4 linked regions of the Drosophila melanogaster genome follow. The protein of the gene in region 2 interacts with the protein of the main gene of each other region in a pairwise test. Each region holds a gene or a part of one and is shown on either strand. Other genes may lie near its edges. The genes, in order: GstO1, dpr17, CG7203 and PIG-G.

Region 1 (7,161 bases), on a different chromosome or scaffold from region 2:
TACACGGAGCCTGGGTCGACCCAATTACAATCTGCTGGTCAAGGATGCCTGATGCACTTGGTTTATTGAATTTTTCGCATGGAATGAATAAAACATAAATGCAGTCCATAACCGGTTCCAAAGATTTGATCTTGTCTAAACCAGTTGTCGTTCTATGGTGTACCCTTGAAGGCAATGTCGTACTGGGGATTTCCAAGGGTCTTCGATTTCTGGAACTCAGCATGCAACTGGACATCCAAAGCTGTCTTCTGCACAACCTCATCCTGGGTCATCAAATCGCGCCACTTGAGCTGTAATGGATTTTTGATGAGATACATGCATCATCTTATGTTGGATTACTTAAACATACCAGCTTCTCAAATCGTTTTGTATCCAGCTCATACTTTTGCTCCGTATTGATCTTCATGCTGGGAAAACGTTCGAACCAAGGCCAAATCATGTAGTCCACGATTCCAATGTGCTGGCCGGCAAAGTAGGGCGTTCCTCTTTTGCCCAACTCCACTTCAAAAACATCCAAGGCATTCTCGAAGTTCGGTATGGCATCTTTCGGAGCGTTGGGATTACAAGTCAGCACAGGATAAATGGCACTGACCACTGGAGCAAAACGTTCGATTAGAATCTTGTCCAGCGCCTTCTGAAGCGGATCCGTGGGAAAGAGTCGCGTCTGGGGATATTGCTGGTCCAAGTACTCTGCTATGATGAGCGACTCCACGAGGGTCGGTTGGTCCTTCACCCCAGTAAGCTGCAGGGCTGGCACTTTGCCCAGAGGACTGAAATCCTTGTACCATTCAGGCTTCTCAATCAAATCGACGTAGATCTTATGATGTTCAATATGTTTGGCGGCCAGCATCAGACGAACTCGGTGGCTGAAGGGGCAGAATGCCATGGAAAAGAAACGAGGAACTCCATCTTCTGGCAGCTCGGGCTTGGTGGAACCTGTAAGATCAATGTAAGCTTGATTAATTGGCAGGAATAAAAGCACTGACCCAAATCCCAGTTGAAAAGGTAGAAATAACATTTGATGGTCTACTTTATATATGGGTTTAATATTTTTTTAAAAGCGGTTTCACAATGTTAGTTTAAGTATGTTGCTTCCTGTCATCCATTAATACATCCTTTACAAGGGCTGGAAGGCTACATCGTAGTCCGGTTTGTTCTCATGGCGGGTCTTCATGAACTTCGCATGGATTCGGGCATCCAAAGCGGTGGCCTTGACAGCCTCATCCTGAGCCACCAGATCCCTCCACTTCAACAAATTCTGATAGCGTGTCTTGTCCAACTCGTAGGGTTCATCCAGAGTGTACTTGAGGGCCGGGAATCGCTCGAACCAGGGCCAAATCATGTAGTCAGCAATGCCGATCTTGTTGCCTCCAAAGTATGGTGTTCCGCGCTTGGTGATCTCCTGCTCGAAGACATCCAGAGCGGTCTCAAAGTTCTTGATGGCATCAGCGGGTGGATTCTTGGTGAACAGCACGGGGTAAATGGCGCTGACAGCGGGCGACAGGCGTTCGATGAGAATCCTGTCTAGCGCCTTTTGCAATGGATCCTTGGGGAAAAGGGAGCCCTCGCCCGGATACTGTTCATCCAAGTACTCGGCAATGACCAGGGACTCCACCAAAGCCGGTTGTCCAGGCAGATTTGGCAACTGGATAGCCGGCACCTTGCCCAATGGACTGTAGTCGATGTACCACTCTGGTTTCTCGCTAAGATCAATGTAAACCGTGTGATGTGGAATCTTTTTGGCGGCCAAAACCAAACCGGCACGCTGCGAGTACGGGCAGAATCTCATCGAATAGTAACGCAGGACTCCATCCTCGGGGATCTCCGGTTTGGGCGAACCTGTTGAAGGGTGATTTGTGACGTCAGCAGAAAGTTTTCCATTATGCTTTGGCTAAAATTAAAGCTCTATCTCTGCGTAATTTACGCCTCTCAAAGTGGGGTCTAGATAAAACTATGAAATCAATTGCCAACTTTTGCAGCGTCACTATCCCGATGACCTTGAAGTGCCCCCAACTCACCCCTCTTGAAGTGCTTTTGCGGCAGGGCCATTTTGTTAACAATTTTAAAATAATTCCCAAGACGTGAAATGTTGGTGGCAAAGTAGTTCCGATCGACTGACAACAAATAGAGGGATTCCGGTACCTTATAAAGTGGTCGCAGTCGCCGGACGAGTGAATTTATCGAATATATTTCGATTGTTGAGCGGGTGAATTTAAAATTCTTAAGCTCATATTTAAGAAAATTGTTTGACCACATATTAAAGACTACAAACGACTACTCTAAGATAAGTATTTTCATATCCATTTATCATTCATACCTTCATTAATCTAATTCTAAAACAAACGTACTTACAACCCGTATAAACAATGAAAATGCAAAGATTTATTTTTCAATCACAATAATGCTGCCGTAGTAGGTACATGTGTTACATGTTATATGTGCAAAAGGTACAATGCTGAAGTGGAAACGCCATCATCCCGTAGACTACCCCAATTTGACACGTTTGGCCTCATTGCTAGAAACGAGAAATGGATCAGTCACACATTATATGTATAATCTTCAAATCTTACTATAGCATATTATAATCGGCCTGGCCCGATCGCCGGGAGTTCATGTATTTGGCATGGGTCTGTCCATCCAGATAGAAACACTTGACAGCACGATCCTGGATCATCAAGTCGCGCCACTTAATCTGCAGTAGAACAATCTCGGTAATTTAAAAGACATAATTAGAAAACCAATAGGACCCACCAAAGTGGGAAAACGTTCCGGACTCAATTCGAATTTTTGTTCAAAAGTGTATTTCAGAGAGTCAAAGCGCTCGCACCAGGGCCACATCATGTAGTCAAGCATGCCTGGGCTGTCGCCACCAAAGAACTTGGTACAACGTCGCTTCAGTTCCTCCTCATAAACGACCAATCCGGCATAGTGATCGGTGTCAACCAGCTGCTCGGGATTGTCGTGCAGCAACAGGTAGTAGAAGGCATTGATGAACTGTCCGAAACGTTCGATTAAAATCTTCTCCTGGGCTTTTTTAAGCAGATCCTTGGGATACAATGGCACCTCCGGATACTTTTCGTCCAAGTAGTCACAAATAATGAGCGACTCGATCAGCACAGGATTTCCCTGTTCCTTGACCAGCTCCAGTGCCGGCACCTTTGTGGAGCTGCTCACCAGGGAGAACCACTCGGGTTTGTCGCGAAGATTGATGTAGATAGCGTGGTAGGGAATCTTTTTGGCATCCAGGACCAGGTGCACACGGTGTGCATAGGGGCAAAAGCGCATCGAATACAGCTTTAAGATCCCATCATCCGGAAATACGGGCTTTGGCGAGCCTGCAATATATATGCGCCTTTTAAATGTGAATTTGGAACTTAGTAACTTATACTAACCAATAGTTAAGTGCTGAGTATTGCTCATATTGGCAATACAATTTTTTCTGGAAAGGAACACAACCTGTTTTGCGGGTTATGACAATTATCGATATTTGACAGTAAACGTTAAGGTGGCTCGATAACGTATTGTCTTTTTACAGGATTGATGTATTTTTAATCAATTATTATTTAATCGGTTTAAAAAAATCTATCTTAATCTTAAATATTAATTTTTACAACTTTAATTTTTTTAAATATAATTCAGTCATCTATTCATCTATTATTTAGGACTTTAATTTCAATAATTTATGGTTATATATCCATAATAGACTATTTGCATCACTGCTCCAAATACATATTGTATATACATAATTAATCTAAAATCAATTTATATTTATCGTTTTTAATATTTGCTGCAAGAGGTTACATTGATCGCCATCGATGTGTAGCGTTGATAGCAACGGAACACCGATACCTATCGCGGATGATTCGGTGTTTTTCCACATCCCTACCGCCTATCGATAATTGTTATAACAAAATTGTTTTAGTTGCGGATTTCTTGTGTTTGGCGGTGTGAGCGAAAGAGAGATGGCTGCTGCGGCATATGTTTAGCGTGTCCGGAAAATGTTTACAGTAAGCTCGCCCTTGCGTAACTGAGCCCGTGTTGGTGTTGGTGGCCGCATCCCGTACTCCGTATCCCGTGCAAATCTCGCCGCTCCATGCGGACTCGCTTCGATTCGATTTCCCGTGCCAAACCGAGATTATTGCAACGTAATTGACACTCGGCGTAATCTCTACGGCCTCTTTCATTCACGCCCACCGCATCGGCAAAAGCTATAGCTCCCAGAATCGTCCAGCATTATCTTCGATCCCGCAATAACTCTAGTGGGAATTGTGTGAGTGTGTGTTACAGTGTGCGATGTGCTAAACAGTCCGGCAAATTTACGGGTGAGTTAGTAGTGGGCTTGCATTAATTATTCGCCTTTGTTTAATCTTGGCATAAGTTCGTTCAGAATGGAAAGTGCATGCGACGCGCCCCCATTCCACCTCCCACCGCCCAAAATCCACCCACCACCACCCACTCGTATTTATTTATAGCGGGACATTTCCATGTGCGTGTGATTTTGACACCCGCTCACTTACATCCATATGTATTTGTTGTACACACACATACGCAGATGCACACGTAACTACACTGATATTCAGCACGTTTTTATGCTATTTTCGATCGACATCATCAATGTGTTCTATACATAATTCAGCGCAATTCTGATACCATTTCCATGCTCGCTATCTTCAGAGCCTAATTACGCAAAATCAATGGAATTAGTGTTATCAAACGGGCCAGAATGCTTATCATCCACTGGCGGGGCTAGATAAGATTTCAAGGGGGAAGACAACGTGGATGAGTCTTCACATCGCGTATGCTTTATCTCTAGCATTCTCTCTATTTAAATCAATAGACTTATCCAAACGATCATAGTTACAATTACAATCCACGTGTTCGACGTACACAGCTTACATTTTGCGTAAATAAATACTCTTATCACCTTACACATAACGTCATTAGATTTTATATTTGTATTGCGCATTGAGGGATATGAAATATTTAAGTTGTATTCCGGATGCGTAACCCCCTTTGGAAGCCGTCACTGTTATCGCCACTGACCCATATATCAACATGTGTTCCTTTCGCACTTTTGGCTGCCTTCCACATAGTTCTGTTGTTTTTGTCTTTTTTTTTTTAGAAGTGTAGGTGGTGCATGAATCATAGATAGTGGTGCCGGTGGTGGCCAAAAGGGAAGCATCCTTATCGGGCGCGAACTTTTCCATTTCTCCGCCAAACGCCCGCCGCCAATCAATTATTCATGAGCCAGCGTAATTTGCAAAAATTGATATGTATATTTGCAAATAAAAAAAAATGCAATATCAGCTATGAATGCCTTGCAACCAGGCGCCAACAACTGAGGCAGCCAACCATTTCAGCAACCAACAACTCAATACGGAAAACAAACGTTTCTCGGCGATCCACGATCATTTCGATGCCCCCAGATGAATTATTTATCGCATATGGCCAGCCCTTCAACATCAGTTATGTGTCACTTGGTGGGTCGTACTAGCTGAATACTAAACCGGCCAGCCAGCCAGCGTACATAGTATGTAATTCAGCAGACGGCGAGCATGGCAAGGTCAGAGCCTCGTTCCGTACGGATTTGATCCAATCGGATTGGATCCGTAGCTGTCCATTCGGATTCCGAGACCGAGTCCGAATCTGAATCCGACGTGATTGACCTCAGCTTAGTCTAGTTGTGTGTACTTGGCTTCTACCCATCCAGAACTTCAGTTCCATGTGGCCATCACATGACGCGAGGTTTTTCATATCTTCCTAAACACACTGCTGAAATTTCACATCAAGCTTTGGCTTATGAAAAGGTAGAAACCAAAAAACAAAAAAAAAAAAAGATAATGCCCAAATTTGTGTGTGTATGTATGTGCTTGGATTCTTGGGTACACCTTTTCGCAGGTTATTTCGCTGAAGTTTCAGGTATGAATTTCGTGTTTGTGTTGCGGCCAAGATAAAAGATAAATTGCTCAGCAGGTAGAGAGACGATCTGGAGATGTAGATGTACGGTGGAAATTTCAGGCTAAACAAACTGTAGATTGTGCATAGTAGTTGTTCATAAATCTTGCGAGGAGTTCTACGAGTACGTTTCTAGATTTAATTTCGCAGTTTAAGGTTGTGACATGTATAAAACGAGATATTATGCAGTGTCAGGGGCCTAAAAACGTGGAGATACCATGTATGTACATATCATGTGAAATTTACTCATCAAGTTTTATCTATTGAACTTTGAGCGATCGCGTGTTCAATTTTAGGCTTTTTGTGCGGATGTCATGCGAAATTTGATTGTGCGATCGAAGCATAAAATGTGGAATGGGTTCCAGGAATTTTGAGTATATGAAATTGAGATTTAATGTGAAATTTCATGATGTTGACTCATCGAAAAGTAATCAGAACGTTTTGGAATTTCACAATTTGCGAAATGAGACCCACCCTTATCCTGAAATTTCAGCATGGAGATCTTTTGCGATGCCAAACGAATTTATGTGGAGGTTCTATGTATATGAAATTCATTTATGCTGACTCAGCTGCATAAGCTTTCCGCATCTAAAAAGGGTTACTCTGCGGAAATTTAATCCGTATGGGACAGCACTATTCGTTGGAGATATCATGCGAAATTTTGGTGTACACATGGAATTCAGAGAGCAGCGAGTTCAGTGACTTGCCGACTATACAATTACCACGAGAATTCGGAAAAAACAGACGCGTGCGATTTTCGATATGGAGATGTTATGCGAACTAAAGTCGATTCAGCAAATCTAATCGTACGTTTTTGGTACAGTAGCCTCTCGATATGTACGATTTTAAAGTGCAATTTTAAACAATAAAAACAAAGCAGTTTTTCCTAAAGTTTATTTATTTATTTATATTGAAAAAATAGTAAGTAAATTTAATAGAAGTACTAATAGTACTTTCAGATTACATTTTTTTAAAATTCTCAGACCACCAGATTGCAATGGTAAAATAATTAAATTATTGAAGGCTGGCCAAAAAATTATTTTTTTTTTAAATTAATTAGTTTGAATGGAATAAAAATAATAATACGTTGATCTGCTAAAATATTGACGTTTTAATTAGATCTTAGTTCGAACCGCATTAAGTATTTTGGCTAAGAGCTCAAAATTAAGATGGAATCATTGAGTTCTAATTTTCGTTCTCGTCGAC
Region 2 (8,507 bases):
TGGTTTAAGTAATGTTTAAATATTAATAAACATCCAGATACTTAACTTTAAATTTCTTAACTGCGTTACCTACGGGTGCAAAGCTAATTACTTACCAAAAAATAATTTTTCATATACAATTAAAGGACCAATTACCAAGCACGAGGGACTAAGTATTTTAAAATTCCCATTTAGGATGTGTTGTGTAAGAAAAATGCCCAGCTTACCACTTAAGAGGTCTGGCAAGCCCACAACAATTAATATAAAATAAAGCGTTACGATTATGCGAGACAATCTTCATTAATTAGACGCAAGTCGAACATAGAACAAATTAGCCAAGGGTTCGCATCCAGTGGGGGTTTGCGACCCCAACCAACAATGTCATTAACGTCACGTCGCTTTCGCCAGTGTCTCCTTCACCTTTTCCCGTCGCAGGATAAAGGGTGCAGTAATTATATTTACCGTTAATCCTGATTCACCACAAAAGGATAACGACACGCAGGGCAAAGGGTGACCGCCTGAATAGGAAAAAAAAAAATGCAACAAAGAGTGTTAGTAGCGCGAATGTTGTTGGTGCTAAATGTGGGTTACAGCGGTTACAATCAACCTTAATGAACCCGAAAACCAACGCACACGTTTTATCTAGCATTTTTAACTTAGTCAACTAAAATTTGGCTGAAATCAGGGAAAAAACTAATTGCTCACAGAAAGAAATGTGGATTTTGAGTATTGTTGAGGAATAAAAAAATGTTACTGTTACAAAAAAAATGTTACTGTTACAAGGTATCACTCGTTCGACTATTCGGCTTGCACTCGATTCCATCTGCAGTTCATTTACATAGTATTCGATTAAGTGCAATTTACTTTGCGTTTCGATTTCTATGGGTTTCCTTTCTCTATGGCATTTGAAATGAAAAGCGTGAGGCTTAAAGTGCGTTTGGCTCGATTGCCTGAACACTGAAATCAAGTGCGGTAGATTGTGAGCTGCTGGTTGCACTCAAACCCCATTGATTCTCGAACTTTTGCTGGTTCCCTTTAACAATAAACACAGCTCAACTGGCTCAAACCGCAGGTGCAGACTGAACTTTGGTTCTCTAGGTTGCAGTTAATGTTTATCTATTTCCGAATATTGGTTTTATTTTTCTTCAATTGCTGTTCGTCATTCAATTCTTTGAAACCTAAATTTACATGAAATTTTCTAACAGAATTAACACTTGCGAGCCTCAGGCTGTCACATCCGATTCAATAATAACAAAATTATAATTTGCATTATCGTTTGGGTCTTGTTAATAGGACACTCTAGGAGTATAACTTGTTTGGCCTAAGTGCATAAATTGCTAATAAATTGTCACAACATTATGCATATTGGTATTTTCCAGACCATCTCCTTGGCTCTTCAATAGTTTTCCTTCACAAATATTTCATATCGTAGATGCATTTTCCGTTGTACTCGCAGGATAAAATCAAACCAGATTTTCTCATATGTGTATGCGTGTATGTTGCCTTGTACCGTCTATCAGAAATTTGTCTAGAATGTCATTGAAAATTCGCATATTCGGAGAGAGCAGAGTTGGGCACCCTTCCAAAACGAACAAGGATATGGACAAAGGAAAATATATATTTATATGCATTCGCAGGGAAAATTGAAGTCTGAAGAAATCTGAAAAAATTGAGAAAAGCAATCATAATGTAGATATTGAAATATATTGACAGGCGTGCGACTCGAGAGTCACTCCCCAAAATGAGCAAACCAATTTTTGTAGTTCAAGTTCCTGTCCCAAGAGAAATGATGTTTGCTTAAATTTAGCCCAGATGCGATTGCCTCCAACAAAAAATATTAATTTATTTACGACCTTTATAAAAAGTGCTAAAATTAACAGCTGAGCAATGTTTAGCTAATACAAAGCCATCAACTTTCTGTTTGAGGTCTTTGGGAAGAGCAATTCCGACGGACCATCAAAAATGTACTGAATAATTAATATTTATTTAAAGTTTTTGATAAATTTAGCCTTGTTAAGGGCCCAAAATATTTTTTTTGTTATAAAAAAGCAATTGTTGCTAGAATCTATGTTTTAAATAAGATTTACAGTTTCTTAATGGATAGAAATGGAAAATTATATGTGCCAGAAGTCGCTTGTGTAATATTATATATTTTTAAGAGTACTATGCAGTCGCTTTACTGCATACTACAATTTTGATCTTTTGTTTTATTTCACAACTCGATTGATGGGCTTTTAGCAGCTTTTGGTTTTTGTTGCCTGGCTTTTGGCTTCGATAACTGGCGCAACTGTTCACTGTTTTCACTGGCTCAAAGGCGACATAAAGTATATTTTGATTATTTTGTGAGCCAGAAGTTGAGCATTTTAAGGCCCGCCGGCATTTGCATTTCAAATATACTTTTACGACAGCCAGCCAGCCCCTTAGCCTTTGGCCCGCATCCCGCCCGACACCTTCCGCCGCAGGATCTTTTGCTGCGGGCGAGACGAGGTGAGCCACATGGAAGTGGAAGTGAGTGAAATACCACAAATGGCGTGTAAACACAACAAAGAGGTAATAACAATGGATGCCAACGAGGTCCCTGACTTCAAGGACCAATGGAAGGGCGGCAAAAGTAGCCGAGGGGAACTCGTCCGCATTCCTGGAGCCTTTGGGAGGAGTTCTTTACGCAGCGCAGGGGGGGATGGGGGGATGGACTTTGGCACCAAGCGCACCCGCACTTTCGAAAACATTTTTATTTGTTTCTCCGTAAGCTGTGTCAATACACAATAAATTGAACTGAGCAGGAATTTATGTTGGTCCTGTGTGAGGATATTCAGCACCCTATCTGCCCGCTGGCTCTGTTATCGCACTGGGGCGTCAATTGCCTGTAGGCCACCGCCCCCTGGGGACTTAAAAGTTCAATAATATTTATTTGTTACTTGCTCTTTGACAACAAAGCACACGAGATTATACTTAGTCCTAGGCCGTCGTTCATCAAGCCGCGCATATTGGCCCACTCCATTCTACATAATGGCATATTGTCGCACAATACCCGAGACCACAGATATGTCTTCGCCGGGGCAGTAAATTCCGGCCACTAAAGGCGATGATTTTTCAACAGACACCGAGCTAATTTAGTGACCGAATGCCAACGCGGTCACCACCGTGATTTACGGGGTCACCATTTGCACGACTCCAATTATTTGTTGGTTGCCTCGTGACTTTAACCTTAGAGAAAAGTGCTGAAGAACGGATGAGTATATTTCAGCTTAGATTAATGTCAAAATAAAGCTAACACTCGGTTTAAGAGGGAATAGAAATTAACTGCTTAAAATATATATTATATTTTAGGTCGGTTACAAACTGCTAACTCTTAAACTCTTTCATTTTAAAATTGAATAGCTACGAGATTTATATATTCCATGTATCAATCTTTATACCATTTTTAAGAGGCGTCAATTCATATTTTACATCATGGTCGATTTTTGGTGGCGTCGAGCGAACCAATTGATATTCATGTGCGACTAAAATAGGCATTTGTCCGGCGGAAACAAGTGTTTTGTTGGTCATCTACAAATGGCATCCGCGGAATAAAAAATAAATCTTCAATCTTCTGTTGCCAAAGCAGTATTAGCGCGCAGGCGCGAACAAACAGCCGGCAAATAACCCGACGGTTCGATTCCGAAAATTCAGTGCAACCAGAGGGATGTGAACGGCACAAAGCTGGGGAAGTTGGAAACGAACCGGTATGCCACATGAAACAGAGGAGAATCCGATGTGGAACGCTCGACGGAATGGCTATGAATCGGCACTATCCGCCTCGGAATGTTAAGAACTCGATGGGAAGTGGGATGGCGTCGCTCGAACGCGACTCAGTCGAAAATTTGAATCCGGTTCGCGCGGACGTGACTCGGATGGTGGAAGGAAACCCAGACCGCAAACGAAACCGCAACCAGAAGTCAATTTTACGCGTTTATGTCTGAAAGGGACTTGTGCTGAAGAGGCGGGAGTTAGGAAAACAAAATGTGACAACAGAAACGAAGAAAAAAGTTAATGGAAAGTGGCAAAGAAAGAAAAGAAGAATTAAGACAAAGTTAAACCACTTGATGTCCTCTTGGGTGTCCTGTGTCCCGTGTCCTGCAGTGCCGCCTGTCGAGTGTCTTTTGCCGAAATCACTTTTAAAATTTGTTTGCTCCCGCCTTATGCAAATGGATATTAGAATGCCGCGCTGAATTGCGAAGCCGAGGAACAAAAACAGGACCGAAGAAAACAGAGGATTTCTCCAAGGACGCGTAACGTAAAAAAGGGATTATTGTGCATCATTTTGGGCAGCAAGAATAATGCCAAGGAGGGCGAAATAAAAAATATTCTCAAGTCGGATTATGCGATAAATTGTTACTGAAGTGTAAATGTTTTCTCACGTGTTAAATCATTAAATATAAGCCACCCAAGCTGCACACAATTCGTTTAGAGCCCGGCCATATGGCCATTGTTACCTTTTGCCACCGACCTAAAACTCAAAGAAAGCCCATCGAAAGGCAATGTGAAACTTGTTAAACACTATAAATGGTCGAAGTTTTTAAGGTTTTTTTTTGTGCGAAAAGTTTTGGCCATTAGTCATCGAGAACATTGTGTGATAGTTCTGCATGAAAGCCGTGCAAGTTATTAACTTTTAAGAAAGTGAGCCGGGAACCAAGAAAAAGGAAATTCTATGTAATTAATTGCAAAACGATTATGAAAGTTTAAGTGGAAATAAGTTGATTTATATTTCTTGGCAAGTTCGAGCACTTGACTTTTCCATTGATTGAGCTGTTGAAGTAAAACTTCAAGATGTAGAAATATGTTTTCAAAAGTTTTGTTACCATGCAGAAGTGTTAACTCTGTTCAGATTAGTTTTTAAAGAAATACCATTTTTAATGGTAAGGTTATATTTTATTCTTGTTTTAAATACGTATTTTTCTTCACGTGCTTTTAATACTCAATTATATGGTATCCCAAAACCACTTTTACAATCACAATAAAATCGTATGCAAACAACATTTTAGGTAAATGTAGTTATTAGGGATTAAACGGATTTGTGCTGTTCAACAAAATAAGTTTTGGAAGAGACCAAAAAGCTAAATAAACAAATTGGATTACCATGGAATAAAGTCGAGTTCCGATGCCAGTTTATTTGTCTATGCTGGTGCCACTGCATCGCCAATAAAAGTTTGCCACTCAACAAAGGCGAAAACACTTAAATAAATATATAAATCAAGCAACACAAAAATTGTGCAAAACCAAGTGCAGAGACCGAGTAAGCCAACAATGGGTTTGCACGAAAATCGCTTGAGAAAACGCATCGAAAAACTTGTGGCCGACCCATAAAGAAGAATTGCAATTTTTTGTCGAAAGCTAGAAATAAAATCAAATGAAATAAAATAAAATAAAATGAAACAGTATAGAGGTTAGATAGAACCCAAATGGAGGCAAGCCAGGACCCAAGCCAGCCCCAAGTGTATTAATTCAATAAACCTATTTATCTGAGACTTCGACTGGGATTTCGAGAACGGAGCAGAGAATGCGACAAAGTTTGCCAGCCAAGACGGCGCAGTGCAATCAGCAGATCCTGTCTGTCCTGGTCCTGGCCCTCGCCCTGGTCTTGGTCCTAAGGAGCACGAGAAGCCAGATTCGATGCCGCAAACGAGTCCCAATTGGAGGCAGGCGGACAATGAGCGCACAAAAGGCGCTGTAAGTGTCATTGCAGCCAGGAACTGGGCCACTGGGACTGCCACGCAGGACTGGAGCCAGAAGAGCAGCAGTAGCTGGAGCAGCACCAGTCGAAGAACCGGAATCAGCAGAACCAGGACCAGGCCAGCCACGTTGACAACCGAGATGACAGTGGCAGGACGAGCAGAACGAGCAGGAGTAGGAGCGCCGTGGTGTCGCCGATTTTTCCATACATCCCCACTAGCGTCTTGGCTACGCATCAGCTTCGTCCTTTTGGTCCTTCCAGCTCTCGGCTTTGGGATACGTAAGTACAGCTGGGGGGTTTCCCTCACTCCTTGCGTGTGCGTGTGACTTTCATACATTTTTGATTTAATTTAACGCATTCACGTCGCACACTCTAACACACAGTTAACTGGGGATGGAGTCCTATGAACGGGTGGAATACACTTTAGGATTTGATATTCCCTAGTGTTAAACCAGATCCCTCTCTTTGCAAAGGTATCAAATCAGGAAAATGCAGTTTTTACATTTCTTCCTAAATGCACTTTTGTATTTAAACCTTAAATCATGCCTCGTAAAACTAGGAAAACAGCGACATCCTTTCAGTGCATTATGTTCTCCTGTTGTTCTGCCAGATTAACAGGATAAGTATCTCCAACTCCTCGTTTCCTTATTTATTCGGGTACCGGGTGAAAAATCTTATGCGCACTTGGCAACACACACATGGATAATTGTCCTCGTAAGCGGATCCCAAGACGCGAAATAGCTGCTGGCAAATTGTTTTAGTAGTTCTGGATCAGCTGGGGGAGTGGAGGCAAGGAAATTGTCGTTCTTTGAAATTGCGGAGGATGAAACTGGGGGCTGAGCTTCCCGTTGTTTCATTTGATTTGCCGAAATTAGATTAGAAGAAGCCACGGGGCTAGCGAAATGGGAAAACAATGGCCCATAAAAGATGACAAAAAGTTGTGCGGCATTGCGGAGCGATTCCTTATATAGGGGTTCTTCTGGTAATTCTATTTAATAAATAATTTAATTCGAATTTTCCACGTAATTAAGATAACTTCCTTGTGCACAGTGACTAGTTAATATAATTTATTCTGACCCGTAATAAGCACTTGAAGATGAAATATTGAGAAATATGCTAATTATATCGATAGATAGTGTCATTTTTATTCAAGCTAGATATATGTACTTGAAAAAATTGATAACTTAAGATCATGAATGCTTTTAAATTTCCAATCGGCTTTTCATTTTGTATTACAATCTTGCCTTGTTTGAAATTTATTTTACTCTACCAAACTTTCACAAGTAAGCAAGTGATTCAATGCCATTATTAGTATTTATTCCTTAAACAGAATATAAGCTCAAAATTTGTTAAAGTTAAGTGATCTAAATTTCTTGTAAACCCTTTTTTAAAATGGCATGTGCTTCATATGGTGCGTTGATTATGGAAGTTCTTAAAGAAAAGAAGTGCCCAGTGACTTATCGAGAAATCTTAGAAGAAGTAGCCTTTAAGCTTAAAGTTGCAAAAATGCATATAAAGGGCAGCGTAGATGTTGCACTGCGAATTGGCGTAAATAAAGGACATATTCTCAAGACTGGGCACCGATTCTACCTGATGAAATCAGAAAAAAAAAAAAACAAAATGCGAAAATGCCAAAAAAAACTTGTAGATCGAATCAAAAAATGCCGACAGGATACGTCGTTGCTTGATAAAGAATACGATTTTGAGGTTTTGACATATTCCGACGATGAAGAGGCTATGGTGTTTAATTATGTAAATCAAGAGAAGTCAAGCAGAAAACAGAAAACAATACTCCGATGCCATAATCCAGTGTTCAATCCGAAGTGTTAGAAGGAAGGACACAATATGGTACTCACAGAAGTTCAACGTCAATATAAAAAGCGAAAAACGACCAACATAAGTACAAGCTGCCAAAGAAGGTAAATTTGTAGTAATATTAAACTTAAACGGTTTGTAAATTTTAAACCAAAGAATCCAGTTTTTAGGTCCAAAGCGGATTTATATAAAATATGTCATTTTTTACCACAAAAATTTTAAAATACAATACCCATTTTTAAACTTTAAAACAAACATCCGCACCTCTTATAAGTGAAAAAGTTTTAAAATGGCCCACCGTTTCCGCAAATAGTTTCGTAAGGTCCTTAACCTCATTGCTTTCCATCAGCAAAAGCAGCTTCTCATTCTGTCGACTGCCCAATAATGGAGGCAAAAATAAAGCAATAAACTATAACCCTTCGTATAACTCTACGTTGGTCCTTTGGCTTTGCAGCCGCACAAAAATATTAACGAAATTGAAAACTTACCAAAAAATGTTTAATAAACACGTTTACAGCAGTGTGGACTTACCCCTTTCTAAATCCCTTATACGATTTCCCCACTGAGCTGCCCTTCTGTCCCTTTATTACAACTCTTAACAAAATGCGCTTTTGGAAAGTTGTGAGTGCAACTCGTTATGCCATAATGCGGAATGGGCCAACAAAGCATATGCAAGCCAACTCAAACTCCGAGCTCCGAAACATTCAAAATTATAATGCGGCCAAAGTTGGTCTTGCTACCCTGCCGGCTTTTGTTCTCTCGAAATCCTCATTCAGATTTTTTGAAAATTTCTGTGGGATTCTGTGGATTGTGCAGTGTTTTTTTTTCTGTTTGCTTACATAGTTCCTGGATCCCTGCTAATTTTGGGAATGTGCCTGCAAAGTCGTTGGGCCTCGAATCAAAGCGGCCTACAGGTTGACTTGGGCCGACCTTTCCTTCCTGATCGCCCCCGTCTTCTCACTATTACACCTAGCCAAATGGCCAGAATCCTTTAAGGCTG
Region 3 (7,143 bases), on a different chromosome or scaffold from region 2:
ATATTGCTTGTGAAACAGAAAATATGGGATAGAATGGATTTTTTTTAAATTTTGTTGTTTTTTTTAAACATATTTGGGCACTGAAATATGTATATTTATGAAAGTATTGATATGCGTTCTAATCAAGGGTTTGAGTATTGGATATCATTTTATTATAGCCCACAATGGTTTTTGTTCCTGGTAAGCTTTGCAAAAAGCTTTTATGAATTGTTACACTTAGAAAAATTACTTGAGCCTTTCTAAGTGATATGTCTTTTAAAGCGGATCAAATGAATTGATTCTTAATTATAATTATAAATTAAAGTAGACTCACAGTGCAAAAACAGCAACTTTTGGTTGAATTGAAATCTCTAGGATTAGTCTTACTTGCACTTGACTAGGTCCTGCAGATCCTCCGGCGAGAGAGCGTACTCAGGATCTAGCTGCGGAGTATTACGCTTCCGACTGCGATGTTTCCTGCGAAGACCAGATGGACTTTTTGCCCTGGAACGGACGCCCAAGGCAACGTTATCACTGCTCTGGAAGCTGGTACTTATGCCCGGATCCTGGATGACAATGATGGGAGCACTCGAGGAGCGCTCATCGGTGTACTTGACCGTCGAGGCAGCAGCTCCGCCAGTCAGTTCCTCGGCCTTGGCCTTCTCGGCAAAACTATCGCGCCGCCACGATGGCGTGAGCGTTCTGATCACATTCTGGGTGTCCGAGAAGCCCTCGTAGTTGTACTTCTTACGCAGACTCAACCCCGAGAGGTACTCCAGCGTTTGCCAGACGTTCATCTTGTTCGCACTGTACGAGGGCTCCTCGTCGACTGACCAGCAAGCATTGCGTGCAATCCGCTGGGCCAGGAGCATAGTCACTGTGGCACATCGGTTGCCCGGCGGCGGGGGTGCCCATTCCCGGGAATCGGATAGTGCAACAGTTCCGCCCACGCCCACCACTCCGATCCCGGCGGCATCAGACTTCATGGCCGTGAGTGACATATGCGGAACAGTTTGTTTAGGCCCAAATTGAAATGTAATTAAGTTTCCGATTCCGTTTAAAACTTCGTCCTCATCCTGCGACGACCGAACTTTATATGGCTACCATCGCACACGATTCTGGCTGTGCTTCTGGTTCTGTTGGTGATTCTCTGATTCTAGGTGGGATCAGGCGCCACCACCGTCGGCGTGTCCGTTGCGTGGCAGCCACGCGCTCGTACTCGCTGTTTATTGTATCCATTTTGCGCCATTAAAAATAATATCATTCTGATTGAGTGACGCGCCGCTTAAGTACTTTCCTTCTTCGTTGTCCTCGCACTGACACCATTTTCCGCCTGCCGCCGCTTTCCTTTTTATTGAACACGCAAAGTGTCGGCATTGCATTGGTGTATTATATGGTATTTCTTTTTTCCCACACCCAAATGCCTTTTCATTACCCCGTTCGCGATTGTTTTTTGGGTGGGCCCTCGCCTCCTGGCACCTCGCATCATTGTGGATACGCAGCCCAGACAAAAGGCAAGTGAAACCCATGCTAATGGAGCGAGGGGTTGCCCAATGGATTTCTCCACCACACACTGTTTTGACATTAGCCCCATTTCGTAGGGTACCTTCGCTATACAGTGAGGTTTTACTAAGATAGCAATTTAATAGAAAATTGAATACATTAAATTAGCTTTTTCTTCTATTGATTTATAAATGCATCTTCTTTGGTGCATAATTATCTAAAGCACTTTAGTTGCACTGCAAAAGTTCTTTCACAATAGATCACTTAAGAACCCTTATATTTTAACTTTTCTCTCGGTATTTGCTTTATGCAAGCTCAAAAGTGCGCAGTTTTCTAAGGACACAGTCCGTTCAGTTTCAATTTACCCCATATCTGGCAAGAATCTTAACCTTGGTGCCACACAATTCCCGACTTTAGTGCTACATAAAGCAAGGCAACCCGCGAAACGTGAGTTTTCCGGCGACCCAGTGAGAATAACCAAGTCAATTTCCCGTTTCCATCACTCCTGTTCCCCAATTACTTGCCAAAGTTTCGCCGACAGCTGATGGCTGCACTTTCTCCCCTTCGCGCCTCTGGGTGTTCATTTGCATTCGAGAAGTTGGAGCCATCTATCAAAGACTTCGTTAGCATCGCGTGACTGAATGTTGTCCGGAAATTAGAACCACCCACTCAAGCCGAAGAAGATTTTTTTTTGACAAGTTTGGGCAGCAGGATTAGTTTATGGATTAGTGATAAATAATCTTATCAGACGATGTGATGCAATTGAGTGCGAATATTTCCCCATCGCACATTTAATTGGCATGGAAATATTTCTGGGTGTGGCAGGCCAATACTTTATGTGTAAGTCTGACAATTTGATGGATGCAATAAAATATTATGGCTGCGGCTGTGGCAAAGAATCTTAATTGAATGGCAGCGCGCTGCATTGGAGCCAATCGGTGTCAGAGTCACCGAACCAACCAATTGGCCAACTCGAGTGCACAGGAGAAAAGCAGCTAATTTTGGAAAGGAGTTTTGTGTTGTTAAGGTATAAATTTGTATTTCAAGATTAAATTCAAAAGATTTTTTTTGATTCCGAATCCTATTCACTTGATGCAAAATCCTTTTTTGATTTACCTACAATTACTAAGTATTCCTCTCAGTGTAGCCATAAACAGCACGAAAAGCACTTGACGGCAATGAATTCTGACACACGTGTGCCAACCACTCAAACTTCCCCACCGCCCACCTGGCTGGTGGTTCGACCCTCAATGTTCTCTACTCACGCAACAATGACATCGGGATCCTCCCACCACTTCTTGTTGGAAGGCTGCAGCAGCAGGCTGACCTGTCGCCAGTGGTTCTTGTGCACCACCTTTGGATGAACATAAAAGTTGGAGATTAATGCTCATTTTATGGACTGTATTCCGGCAGTGGTTACCTTATACTTTTTGGGATCGTATGCATTGTGATCTTTCTCCGTAAACACCAGGCGTGCCATTTTAAAGCCTCCGAATCCTTTCTAGAACCAAGCCTGATTCTGCTTCTCAGTGGGAGTTCTTTACATCAAGTATAGTACTCGAAAATATAAAGTATGCTTGCTTGAAACGGAATTAGTTATTTGTGTATACTGACTGAAGATTTTGCTTTGACAAAAGCTTTAATTGACTGTTAAATGAAAGATATAGTGTTGTTAAATTTTTAATTTCACAAAAATTTACCCTAAAATGTACAGCTCTTACTTAGAAAAAATTAAACGTATGACAATCTCTACTGATATTCAAATGTTTTGTAATTTATTACGTAGAATTGCTTTCCGACTTAAAAGCGAAAGTGGTTTGATTTACTTATCGTTTCTTAATGGAATCAATAAATATGTTCTATATATACAATTACGGATTACTCTACAAAAGGGGGTATAACTTAACATATATTAAATTATAAACCATTATTTTATATTTAAATACCAAATAAAATTTACAAAATTTAATTTTCATATTTTAAGGATTGGTAATATTTGTAGTGAAATCGTTTCCTACATATGGACTCTGATTTTTATATGGTATTCCTGGACATATGTTGGCGTTGACTGCATTAGTGATATGCAAATGCAATCGAGAAATCTATAGTCGGTGACCAAAATGGATCAGTTTGCCGACAACTGGCGGCCGGCACATTAATTTCAGGGCGAGCTAACCGAAGTGAATTTAATTACATTCTGCTGATGAAATTTAAATGGACAGCCAGTGGTGCTGAATGTGTGTGGGGCGATGGTGGTACAGAGGCACAGTGGTGCTGCGGTGGCTTGTAATTTGCCTATCCATTGTTGTTAGGGGCACCCGAGACATGGCTTTAGTGTATATCATATACAGATATTGAAGTCATGGTTATGGATTGGCCGAATCAAATGAGACCAGTCTTGTTTTCGTCATGTCAACCGGTGTGGCTAATTGTCGCGCACTTGAATTGTCGTCAATGAATTGTGGTTATTGATTCGGGAAGGTCAAGGGGTTCGGGTTGGGGTTGGGGTTGGGACTGAAGGTATTACGTGGTTTGTTCTCTGGCCCGGTTTCCGCATTTGTGCAGCAAACATACACATGGCTGATCAATCCGAGAACTGGCCTTATATGCTAAATGAAATTATGGATCGGAGCTATAAAAGCACTTGGCCAACGGGCAGATGTCAGTTAGTTTCGTTTCAAGCGTCACTGAGATCACAAAAGCCAACATGAAGGTGAGATTGAAGGGATATCGGATAACTGGAGCTTAGTTACAGCTAGTGTTATGTAAAAGGACAACATGAAGGGATTTATGTTGTTTTTAGTAAAACATTTCTATACAAATTGGTATGCTGCAAAAGTAGACATAAAAGATCTTTATCGAGTTATACATAAATTAATATCAGATCGCTGAACACATTACGACCCCATTCAGAGAAACTCCAAAATTAAAAAAACTTCAAATAAGTTATTTTTATCATAGTTCCTGAGTTTCCATCTAAATCAAGATTCTTATTTTCAGTTCGCCGTTGTCGTAGTCCTGTTCGCTTTGGCCTGGGGTGTCAACAGCTCGGTGGTGCCTCTCCTGACCTCCGCCCATGGTCTGGTGGTCGGTTCTCCCGCCGTCGCCGGTTCGGTGGCCATCCAGGCATCTGCGGTTCCCGCTGCCGTTCCCCTGTCCCTGTCCCCAGCCGGACCCGTGCTCATCCAGTCTGGACCAGCGGTGGTTGCCGCTCCCGTTCCCGCCGCTGTGGTTGCTGCCCACGCCCCCGCCGTGGTGGCCGTCGCCGCTCCGGAGGCCAGCTATGTGGCCAAGACCCGTGGAGCTGTCCATGTGGCTCCTCTGCCAGGACATGTGCAGTCCGCTGCTTCCGTGAACTTGGAACCCGCACCAGGCACCTGGTAATCACCTGAAATGACTTCTGGATTACCCCTACATTGATCCTGACCGCCACTTGCTCGCATCTTTACCACATTTTTTGGTTTTTTAAGTTACCGAAAGGTCTGTCCTCTGCTGAGATCCCGTTGGGTTCTCATTTCTTCAGCAATCTAAGTCAATCCTATCCAGTCTATCGCTTTCCGCTTTACTCTCTGGTCTATATTTATCCACCCCGCTGTTGTCACATGGAAATTTGTTTCTTTTTGAATAAAAAAATGTTATTAAAACAGTTGAAAGGCGTTTTAGTTACGGTTGCTAGCGCTTAAGTAACTATTTATATGCCATTAGCAGATGTATCTAGATCGTGGTCCCAGAATATTTATTTCAAATAATTTTTACGCAATTACCAGGGGATCGACTCACCTTTTTTAACGGCAATTAGAAGCCACACCCTTAGCCCAACTCCCACGCCTTCAAGTGCAGCAAACATTGGACAGCTAAATGGCTTAAAACAATCTCGATCGATGGCCGATTACCGATGCCAGTAATTAATCAATTCCGGGGCCTCAGACCGGCGCTACAGCAGGGGCGTTGACAAAAAGCCGCTCCAGAAATGAGACGCAGTTGCTCGGCAGCTGGACAACTTTGTTGCCAACTCATAGTACAAACTGCCGTCGAACCGAACTGGTCTTTGAACTGAAAACGAGAGTACTACTCGATCTGGAGCAGGGGCGGTTTGCCTTGATCGCCGCACACTCGCACTTGCAATTATTAATAGAAAAATGTGCACAAACTTGATATGGCCGCGATGAAGTTAAGTAATGCCCATGCAAAGTAATGCGGTTCAGATCAAATCCGCCTTAACGCCCACTGCAGACCCCTGAAACCCGTTAGGCGATGATCCCGATTCCGATGGGATATATAGGACTATATGCTGTTATATCTAGTGAAATATATGAATAGTAAATTGCAATTTATATTAAATATTAATAATTTCAGTATGCCAAAAATATAGTTGAACTTTCTTCTTTGCACTTCCAGCGGCTGAGTAAGGAGTAACTGATAGTTGAGGAAATCGACTCAAGCGTTCTTTCTTATGTCTATATATTTTTTTATAAGACATTTAAAATTATAATTTTCAGGGTATCCCATATGGTGAGTTCAATACAAAAATATTAAATATACTGGCTTAATGCCCCAACATTTTGACCGAAAATAGACTTGACGGAAAACATGATAAGCGAAAAATGCCTAGGCTTTCAATAAAAGTGTCAATTGTCGGCGAAACGTGAGGCCAAGAAAGGGGATGGGGAATGGAGTGGGAGGGGGAGTCGACTCAGTTGGGGGGCGGGGAGCCAAGTGGCAGCTAAACAAACGGCAGCGAAACATTTTGCCGCGTTGTTTAGTGTCGTGTCGGCAGCCAAGCCCCATGGCAATTGGCCATAAATCTAGACCCAGCCATTCACTTTTTGTTTTCTTTTGCTAGCCACAAGTGGGCTTAACTCGATCGGCGGCTGCGTGCACGCAAAACCAAAGAACGCATGACGCGGCTACCGAATGCAAGTTGGCTTAAACCGCCACCACCAGCCCCCTTTCGACAAGTTCAAGTTTACGCACTTTGCGGCTGCTTCCTGCTTCGAACGGGTTCACTGCACTTGAGCCGAACGCACTTAGCTGTTTCTGGTTTCTACGCAGAATCGAGTTCAACTTGGCCCACTGCGTTGGATTTGCTTTTATTATTGGTGGTTTACGCAATTCGCACTTCATTCGTTGGCAAGGCGAAGGCAGTTCACTTTTAGTTCACACGGAAACTAAGTTTGCCAATTTGCATCTCAAAGGTAGTTGATTTTAGATCATATTATGGATAACTACTATCTGACTTAATATGATGAACTATTTAAATAGTAAATTGTTGCTGGTAAATAAAAAGCATATTAAATACCATGGCAAGCTACTTCTGTGCAATTTAATTACATATAAAGAATGTTGACTTCATAAATTTTGTAATTTATACTATATAAACAATTATTCAATTTAAGTGTTTATTATAAGTTGAGTAACTTAAAGATAATAAAAAGTAGTTCCAAATAGATCGTTTATTGCTCGAAAATTTGCCATATCCGCATTAGTTTTATTGACAATAAAAAGCATATAAAAATGCCACACCACATTTATGGAGCAGGTGTGTAGAAAAGTTGGACTTTTTTGTGAATCCGCATACAGATATTTTTGCAAGTGTATATAAGCATTACATCATTTAAGCCATCCACTCTCGTGTGGGCGATGAGTTGTTGAATAAGGTCA
Region 4 (9,235 bases), on a different chromosome or scaffold from region 2:
AATGCTGCACGTGCAGCAGGCATTGGCCGAGATGATAGCCAGTGCCAAGGTGCAGGCCATTAGGAACTGTTCGCGGATGGAGCAGATCTTCTTGCAGGCAATTGCAGCTGAAGTTACGCGCACTGGCGTCGAGGAGACGACTTTCATGGGCGTCTATCAGCAGGTGGAAACTATTGCCGCCTTCATGGGCGTGACCTTTCCACCACCAGGACGCGCCCTGCGCTTGTGCTCCAAGCTGGGCGCCGAGCGACTCATCATCAGTGAACATTCCCGCAATGACCTCTTTCAGAAAATCCTGCTCAACGTCAGCGCTGATGACATTCACTACGCCCTCAGAGTGGAAGAGATGGTCAACTAAGGCCATAATGCAAGAACAAACGAATAAGAAGTTAATTAAGCACATTAAATTCTCATCTCCATTTTTAAGACTCCAAATCCAGGTTACTTGACCTATCACATTTCCACCATTTTTAAATCATTCATTATTCATACAACATTGTAATAGCTTAAGCGTTTTTAAATTATTTCTTTTTAAGCGTCATGTTTAAACAATTTAAAGTACAAACTCGTTACTAAAAATACCAAATAGAACACCAGCACAGTGTAACAGTCGTAAAGTACTTTTGGGGAAAACACGGAGTAGATAAAGAGGTGGTAGCGGAAGCCAACCAAGAGGCAGAGGTAGAAGGCCGCCGGCAACATGATTAGCGCGGCGTAGAGCGGAGCTATCAGCGAATCCGCGGCTATCGAGTACGGAGGATGTAGCTGCATGATACCCACACTGCGCAGATCCGAGCGCAGGGTGTGGACAACTAAATAGAGGAATGCATGAATATCCGCACTGTACGTGTTGAGGGTGACAAAGATGGCAACGATCGACGGGTTGTAGTTTGTCTGTCCGATATAACCAGGCGTTAGGTCAATGGTGGACAGGCTGTTCGAGTTACCCTGGTAGAAGAAGAACATCCTGGCCAGGAATATGGTCATGATGATCTTGTACACATGCACCAATCGCACGGAGAACTTTCGGGCACTGGTGCCGTAGACATCGCACAGCTTGTACGTTTGCTGCAGGGCCACGAGAAGTACGGGTAGTAGTAAGATGTTGTGGACCCGTTGCAAAAGTGCAGCCAACAGCAGCGAGCTGGTAAGGTTCGTCTGCAGCAACTGCAATAATGCACCTGTGGGCGGCACCTTCCCAAAGCTGTGCGCTTGAGGCAGTGCCGCCCGATAGCCCAGCATCAAAACAAGGGCCAAACAGCACCAGAAGATCACCAGCGTCGGCACCATAAGTTTTGCACTGGAAATTATTAAAAATATACTATACCACAATATTCAGGCTGAACTCATTTAAACTTACGCCATGTGCGAAGGCACGTCGAAGAAAAGCACCTGGCCGTTTAGCCCTCGGAAGCAGTAAACCATGAATAAAGCTGCTCCACTGGCCAACGACTGCGGCAACTGGCTGTGACGATGGAGGCGTGCCCAGAGCAACAGCATCGAAAATATGACGACGGTGCTCCGGATAGCCTGCAGCCTGTGGATGTAGCGCATCAATGTGAGCAGCATAAGCACCACAAGCACTTTACGCATTTGCCACAGACAGGTCGATGCAATCGTGTACAGATGACGGCCATTTAGTTCCACGTTGGTTTTGGTGATGCGCCATCGCAGCGTTCGGAATGCCGTCAATAGGATGAGGGTATTGCCCAGGTAATACCATGTATTATACTCGAATTCAATAAACGAGGAGGAACCAAGAGTTAAAGTGCGTATAGCATAACAAGCTAGCAGAGGTAGCGGCAATGGAATGGAAATCTTCAGGCGACGCGTGTATAGCGGAGGCAATGCAATCTTGAGCAGCGCCTGCGCCACGTCGATTGTAAGGTAAACAGCGATCGAGATGGGTACCAATAGGAGAATGCTGTAAAGCGTTGAACTGGTCATGATGATGTCCAATGCATGACTAGTATAATTTAAGACGACAGCAGCAATCACAGAGAGCCACAGTTGCCCCACTTTTAATCCGTCCAGCTGAAGCTGTTCGGTGAGATCCAAGTACAAGACGCTGATCACAATATGAAGGGATGTCTGAAAGAACGTGGTCACTATAGCGTACTTAAAAACTGGTCAGAAAACTTACCGATGTGGTCAAAGCTAATCCAACGGCAATAAATCCATAGTCGAACTTCACCAGGGATTCGGAGAGCAGATCAGAAATCTCGCGAGCCACGCGCATATAATTAAGCTTGGCGTTCTGGTAGTAAACCTGACTAGCTCCACCTCCATCGCCTTCTCTTAAAGGGCGCAGCAGCTTCTTGTGTAACAGGGTGGCATTCTGATACCAGGTGTAGTAATCTGGAGAATGAATGAATAATTAACTAAAGAAATCGGCGCGGAGGGATCATAACCTTACCACTCCGATGGACTATTTCGTGGCCGAACTTCACTCGCGCCTTGTTGAGCAAGTGGTGGGCGTTGTAGAAGTAAGCATACAACTGGTGCTCCAAAGACAGCGATTGCAGCATCTCCGGTATTAGGCAGCCAATGGAGAGCGTGGGTATTTCAACAGACAGAAGCACTGAAAGGGTGGGCGCCAAATCGATTTGGTTGTACCGTTTTGAGGCGGATCTGTGCAAGAATCATTTGTAGATGCAGTTTTTCTTTTAGATTGTACTTTTGGGGCTTACGGTGTTTTGCTGCAGTTGTTGTAATACAAATATAAAGGTACCAGAGTTTCGGCTGGCGTATTGCCGCCATGTCCTCCGCCATCAGCCATGCCATGATCTCCAGTCAGCATAAGCAGAACGTTGGGAAAACTCTAAATAGGGAAGGAGTTACTTTACAGCTTTCCCTCTATATTAAGCTATCTAATAGCTCACCTTATGATCCAATATTTTTTTCACCACCTCATCCATTTCCTTTAGCTTTAGGGGCACCCTAGGGCTGGCATTGCCCTCGACATGACCAATGTGATCGAGGCCCAGATAGTGTAAAATCAGCAAAGACCAGTCACTCCGCTCCAACTCAGTCTCCAGCGTTTTGGTCACATTTCTATCGCCCTCGTAGAAGTCGTTAACATAAAAGGAATCATGGTTCTCGACCTGCCGTGTAAACTCGCTGGGAAAGAGCTTCACCCAGGTGTGGTCGCCGGCAAAGGAAACAACTCGATTCTGCTGTTTTAGCCGGTGCAAGAACGAGTCCTGCATCTGCTCCGTATGACCCACGTTTAGCGCAATGTCGATAAAGTTCGAAAGGGTGCCGGTGGTGATGCTCTTCAAGCGTGGCATAGTCACCGTCGGTATGTCCACATGGAGCTTAAGCTTCTCGCAGGCCCTAGAATAAGCCACCGGCATAGACGTGGCATCGGGAAAATCATCGCGCAACGCGTCGACCAGTAACAGCACAAAGGAGTCATAGGCAGGTGGCGGCGGCGTCAGTCTGTAAAGGGTAACGAGCATTATAGGGGCGCTATCTCACGCAATTATCAGCTCATAAACTCACTCCATGCCAAGCAGAGCGGTGGGCCGGCCCTCTGGCACGGTGCTTTCCTTCTCCGCCACCGAGTAGGAGGCCGGAAAGAAGCCAATCAGAAAGAGCACGGCGCCGCAAAGGAACGCCGTGAGCATGCCGATGGTATAGACCAGCCAACTTTTGTGCTGTTCCATCTTCTTGTTTTCATCGAAAGTACCGCGCTCCACCGAAAACCACAACAAATTCAATATAATTGCCGCCCGTCAGCTGGAAGTCAAATATAAAGGCTAGACAATCGATAAGTGCTGTATGCTATCGATAGACGGCAAGCAAAACTTCAGGGGCGTAGGCACATAAAACTAATAAATGCTAAAGTCTTACGTATAATTTATATTTATTTTAAAACTATTGATACGAAAGAGTTAAGAGAGGAAATTTGTTAGCTTTATGGAAAAAAAGTATTAATATTTACATAATATTACTAACGTTTTGCCATTTCTCGAAGTGTATATTATTTTATACTTAATTTATCTTAATTTACATTTAAAATCTTACATATAAAAGAAATTTTTTAAATTTGATACTTATAAAACAAACGAATTTAATATCGTCTGTCGAACCCTTTTGCCCATTTGTGAATGCGCCCATGGTCTCTCATAGTCGGATATGTATAAACAAACGCTTTTGATTGTTATTTCTAACTTAAAATGGAAACTTGCGGCCTTATTTGTGTGAGCAGGGACTACGAGAAGTTCCTGATGCGCTGCTCCTACTGTCCAACGGACGTGGAGGTGGCCCAGTGGCAGGAGTTTGTGCTGCACATCCGCAACGTGCATAGCAAAGTAAGGAGCATGGAAGACGACTTCGAGCCAGTGGGGGAAAATTCTACGGAGTCTGGGCACGTAGATCCTCCAGAGGAGAAACCCCAAGCGGAAGAGTCGATATTCCAGCAAGACGAATCGGCGGACGGAGCCTGTGTACAGCTGCATATTGACGCAGTGCGTTCGTCGACAAACGAGACTGAGGAGTCGGACGTATCTTTGGTTACAGATGAAGAAGAATCCGTCCAGGACGAGGATCCAAGTGAACCAGCTCTTGATGATGCCAATTTAAAAACCACACCCACATACAAGGTACTTCTAGAAGCCATTCATGAACGCGCTAAACTAATCTCAGCATTCAACTTCAGTTTCATCCATCCTTCTTTCGCCGAGATCACCGAACCATAAAGTTCATAGAGATCTACAAGGAACACCCGTGCCTTTGGAATCCCGCTCACAGCGACTACAAGGAACCCAAGAAATGCAAAGAAGCCCTGAAGCGTATGGCCATTGACTTGGAGGCAACTGTATCCGTATTCCTGAACGAGATGGCCTTAAAGCTGGCCATCAAGAAAGTCCACATGCAGTTCAACACCGTGCACAAGCGGGTGGTGTCTGGAAAACAGAAACCTCAATCGCTGGCTTTCAGTATATACAAATTGTGTTGCTTCTTGAACGCTAGCAACGATGAAGAAGGGGCTACGAATAACGAAAAAATTAAGGCAAGATATTTGAATTAATTCAAATTGAAATTGTTAACAAGCATACTTTGCCCGCAGCTTGATTTCTCCAAGAAAAACAAGCTGACTACCGACCTGATAGAGATGTACGCAAACTTTCCGCAGCTATACGACTCCAACCACAAGGAGTTCTCCAATATGAGCTCTCGAAAACAGGCATACGAGAGCATGGCTGCGGAAATCTCAGTGCCCAATGTGGACATCAACAGCGATGACATATTCCGCGCCATCCAGAATCTCCGCCAATGGTACTACAAGAACACTAAGCATGCCATTTATGCCGGAAGTACAGCCGAGAAGTTCTACCTAGAGGTGTGTCGGTTCATGCCTGCAAAGATGTACAAGCAGCGGCTGGTCTGCGAATTTTGCCACCAGATTACGTCCTCGGATCATGTCCTGCAGTCGCACATCTTCAAGGCGCACAACATCGGCGAGCTGCCCTTCAAATGCACCTTGTGCGACCGAAGTTTTGTGGGACGTTGCGAGCTGGCTAATCACATACAGCGGGTCCATATCGGCAAGACCCACAAGTGCACCCATTGTGAGCGTTCATTCGCTGTGATGTCGGACCTGCAGCTGCACATCCGTACGCACACTGGCCACAAGCCTTACGTCTGCGAGCATTGCGGCAAGGCCTTCCGACTGCGGTCCCAAATGACGCTCCACGTCACGGCTATTCACACGAAGATCAGAGCCTTCAAGTGCACCATGTGTCCCAAAGACTTTGTGAAAAAGGTCGACTTATCGGATCACATCAAGGGCCATTTAAACATCCGCGACAAAATCTGCAGTGTGTGCGGTAAGGGATTCACCAGCTGCCATGCACTCATCCGACACCGGCAGATTCACTCCGAGGTGAAGAAGTTTGTGTGCAAACTCTGCGACTCCAGGTTCTCCCAGTTTGTGGGTCTTAATACGCACATGAAGCGCACCCACAACATTCTTCGTAATAATTCACAAAAGGGTAAAGATGCTGTGGATGCAGAGAACTGAATTTGATTAAATTTGCAATAAAATGACAGTTTATAAATAGGCAATCTTTTGCAAATGGGGGGAAATAAAAATACACAAATGAGAGTGAAACAATATGTTTAAACAAATTTATTTATATAACGGTTTAAGAATGTATATTAATAATTAAGAATATAAATTCTACATTATCTGGCCATGTCCATCTGTCGAAATCTGGGGATGTACATCTAAAAGCCTAAACACATTCCCCTGCCTACGCTGCGCTATTTTTTCCAAAATGTTGGCACGCCCACAAGGCGCCGACAACTGTAACGCCCATACATTTGAAAAACGTTTTGGTGTTTTCCTGTTCATATTTGTCTCGCTATTTTCTATCGATATGACAAAAAAAATATAATTTCTCAACAAATAAGCTTGATTGATTTTGATTTTTCCAAATGGTTAGTACTAGAATTTTATAACATTTTTTTTCGAAAATTGAAATGTACTAGTTACTTTAAAGATTCATTCATGAAATGCAGATTTTTAATCATTTTTAAGCACCACCAACAGTTGTTAAAACGTTTTCTTTTAAGCCTTCATAAAATTGTGTTTAAATATTATTTTAAAAATAGATTTTTATCGAATAGTCTATCGATACATAATTATTTCAGTCGTTGTCCAACACAGTCCCAAACGCATAAAAAAATTGTTACCTTAAATAAACGAATATATTTTCAGAAAAGGAACATTTTTCAAGCTGAAGTCAGATCAGAGCGCACAACGTAAGCATGGAGCTGTGCGGCAATGTGATGACCAACTCCAAGTACGAGATGTTCCGGCTGAAATGCCTCTACTGCAGCATAGAGAGCGAGCTGAAGGATTGGGAGCTGTTCATCGTCCATGTGAAATCGGCGCACTACTGCGAAGACGAGGACGTTAGGATTAATGAAATCAAAGAGGATACCGAGGAGCTATACAGCGTCGTTGACGCGGCGGACCCAGCCATCGCCTATGGGCCGGATGAGTTCTTCGAGGTGATCGAAAACAGCAATGGGGTCGATCAATGGATGGAAGCTGATAGCAAGGTAAGACTCTTTCACTCGCTTACCAAGGGTGGTCAAATAAGTGAGCTCTCGTTGACCGCAGGATATCCAGTACGAGGAAGACGCCACCGCTTGGTCTGCAGCTACAAACAATTCCTGGGAGTTCGGTCCAGGCGGCAGCTCTTTGGAACTTCCAGCCGGAAAGGAAGTCACACAAATGGACGAGTCTTCCCAAAATCACATACCCCTAAACACAGACGATGATGATGTTGATTGTAGTGACTTCTTTATGTCTGAGGATGACTTGGCACCTCCTAGAAAACCTGGACGTCCGCCCAGGCGAACAAGACCAGGACAGGTTTTCAAGGTTAGTACGTAGTATATTTCACTTAAGCTGAAATTCATTCCACTTAACGGCGTCATTCAGTTCAAAGTTTCGTTTATTCGGAGCAATCCCCGTGTGCTGCATTTGATCCAAGCGTACAAAGAGCATCCCTGCCTGTGGAACCCTTCCGATGAACACTACCAGGACGAGCCTGCACGAAGCATGGCCTACGAGGCGATAATGGAACGCATGGACCGCAAGGCCAATGTTCTCTTCACCGTGGAAGAACTGAAGAAAACGCTCGAGCAACTGCACGTGCAGTACACGCTGGCTTTGGAGACAAAACAAAGGGGAAAGCTTGTTGGACTTGCAGCGCGTTACTTTGCCAAGTGCGAGTTCCTCAGTGTGGCGCCTGTTGTAACGCCAAGGGAGAACGAGGAGGACAACGACTTGACTGCAATTAAGGTAATAACTAGCCCACTATAATGTAGCTCTTTTCTGACCAAAAATCCTTTTTTCAGCTTAATTTTAAGGAGGAAAACCTGATAACCACCTCATTCATAGAGACCTATGCCAACTATCCCGTGCTGTATAATCAAGCGTTGCCAGACTTTGGCTCAATAGAGATACGTGCAGATGCCTTCAAAAGAATGGCAAAGGAATTCCAGCCAGTGGTGAAGGCCAACGAAACGGACGTTTACATTGCGGTCAACAAGCTGCGCCGTTGGCTTTACGATGCCATTCGTCGCCTCAAATCCAAGGAACTAATTCAGAAGTGCAGCAAGCAAGAGGTTCAGTATCTGCAAATGTGCAGCTTCTTGCCCGCCAAGGGTTCCGAAAGTCAGGTGCTGTACTGTGACTACTGCGATAAACGTTTCCACGGCGACTACAACCTACGGGTGCACATCGTCAAGGCGCACGAGGTGGGCGACCTACCGTACCTCTGCTCGTTCTGCCCGAGGCGCTTCGACCGCCACGTAGACATGGACCGTCACAAGCTGCGTTCCCACTTCGAACGCAAGTTGAAGTGCCAGTACTGCGAAAAATCGTTCGCCGTGGATACCGACCTAAAGGTGCACACACTAATCCACACGGGCGAGCGGCCTCACGTCTGTGACATCTGCGGCAAGACATTCCGGCTCAAGCTACTCCTGGACCACCACGTCAACGGAGTTCACCTGAACATTAGACCCTACAGCTGCAATATGTGCACCAAAACCTTCCGCAAGAAGTTCGAGCTGGCCAACCATATCAAAGGACATCTGAATATCCGTGATAAGAAGTGCGAGTACTGTGATGCTACGTTCTATGACCATTCTTCGCTTTCCAGACATCGCCGCAGCCACAGATCGGAATGAACTCTCGCCTTGAGGGACATTTTTAGAAACTGCTTTATTTTTTGATAACGAGAATCAGTAAGCTTCATTTGATGTAAATCAAGAATAAACTTACGTTAGAGTAGTGATAATAACAAGCGTGTTGTTAAGCACTTACGGCTTTTGTGTATTTGATAAGAACATGTGTATGATAATCATATGCACAAGCTTTTCCTTTTTCATACTTTCCTTTTCAAAATTTGGTTTAAGGAATGTATTATTCATAAAAAAAAGAAGAAGCCGGAAAAATAAGTTCGTTTTAAGATAAATTTGTATAACCGTTACTTGTAGAGGAGATATTAGAATAACATATGATTTTTTGGTTCTGGCTCTAGATCTAGAGCTGGCTTGAGGCTCTCCCGAGTTTTTGTTCAAAAGTCAGAGAGCGGAGAGCTCTAGAGCTAGCAGCTCTATTATTATTATTTTTGATCAAATGACGTGTACAAAATTTTATATATATTCATTTTTAACAATGTATTTATATTTCTTTTATGAAATATAT

The links.
Region 1: the proteins of dpr17 (region 2) and GstO1 interact in a two-hybrid assay, tested with the Drosophila melanogaster proteins (one large-scale study listed by BioGRID).
Region 3: the proteins of dpr17 (region 2) and CG7203 interact in a two-hybrid assay, tested with the Drosophila melanogaster proteins (one large-scale study listed by BioGRID).
Region 4: the proteins of dpr17 (region 2) and PIG-G interact in a two-hybrid assay, tested with the Drosophila melanogaster proteins (one large-scale study listed by BioGRID).

What each region holds. Positions count from the first base shown.
Region 1 is NT_037436.4:8,521,383-8,528,543, forward strand, and holds GstO1 (glutathione S transferase O1), read right to left. Parts: upstream 3,485-7,161; 5' UTR 3,421-3,484; coding exon 3,393-3,420; intron 3,336-3,392; coding exon 2,752-3,335; intron 2,693-2,751; coding exon 2,571-2,692; intron 2,516-2,570; coding exon 2,485-2,515; 3' UTR 2,360-2,484; downstream 1-2,359. Other genes in the region: se (sepia), read left to right, coding at 1-52; GstO2 (glutathione S transferase O2), read right to left, coding at 153-290, 350-936, 2,019-2,049.
Region 2 is NT_033777.3:12,091,046-12,099,552, forward strand, and holds the start of dpr17 (defective proboscis extension response 17), read left to right. Parts: upstream 1-3,830; 5' UTR 3,831-4,255; intron 4,256-4,584; exon of another isoform or gene 4,585-5,003; 5' UTR 5,004-5,631; coding exon 5,632-5,971; intron 5,972-7,040; exon of another isoform or gene 7,041-7,611; intron 7,612-8,507.
Region 3 is NT_033779.5:7,750,154-7,757,296, reverse strand, and holds CG7203 (uncharacterized protein), read left to right. Parts: upstream 1-4,110; 5' UTR 4,111-4,189; coding exon 4,190-4,195; intron 4,196-4,482; coding exon 4,483-4,866; 3' UTR 4,867-5,127; downstream 5,128-7,143. Other genes in the region: CG46025 (uncharacterized protein), read right to left, coding at 367-980.
Region 4 is NT_033778.4:7,513,807-7,523,041, reverse strand, and holds PIG-G (phosphatidylinositol glycan anchor biosynthesis class G), read right to left. Parts: upstream 3,763-9,235; 5' UTR 3,669-3,762; coding exon 3,505-3,668; intron 3,442-3,504; coding exon 2,883-3,441; intron 2,822-2,882; coding exon 2,691-2,821; intron 2,632-2,690; coding exon 2,417-2,631; intron 2,359-2,416; coding exon 2,144-2,358; intron 2,092-2,143; coding exon 1,361-2,091; intron 1,301-1,360; coding exon 532-1,300; 3' UTR 501-531; downstream 1-500. Other genes in the region: Orc1 (origin recognition complex subunit 1), read left to right, coding at 1-358; CG1602 (uncharacterized protein), read left to right, coding at 4,182-4,607, 4,664-5,017, 5,075-6,028; CG1603 (uncharacterized protein), read left to right, coding at 6,778-7,074, 7,136-7,399, 7,460-7,822, 7,879-8,715.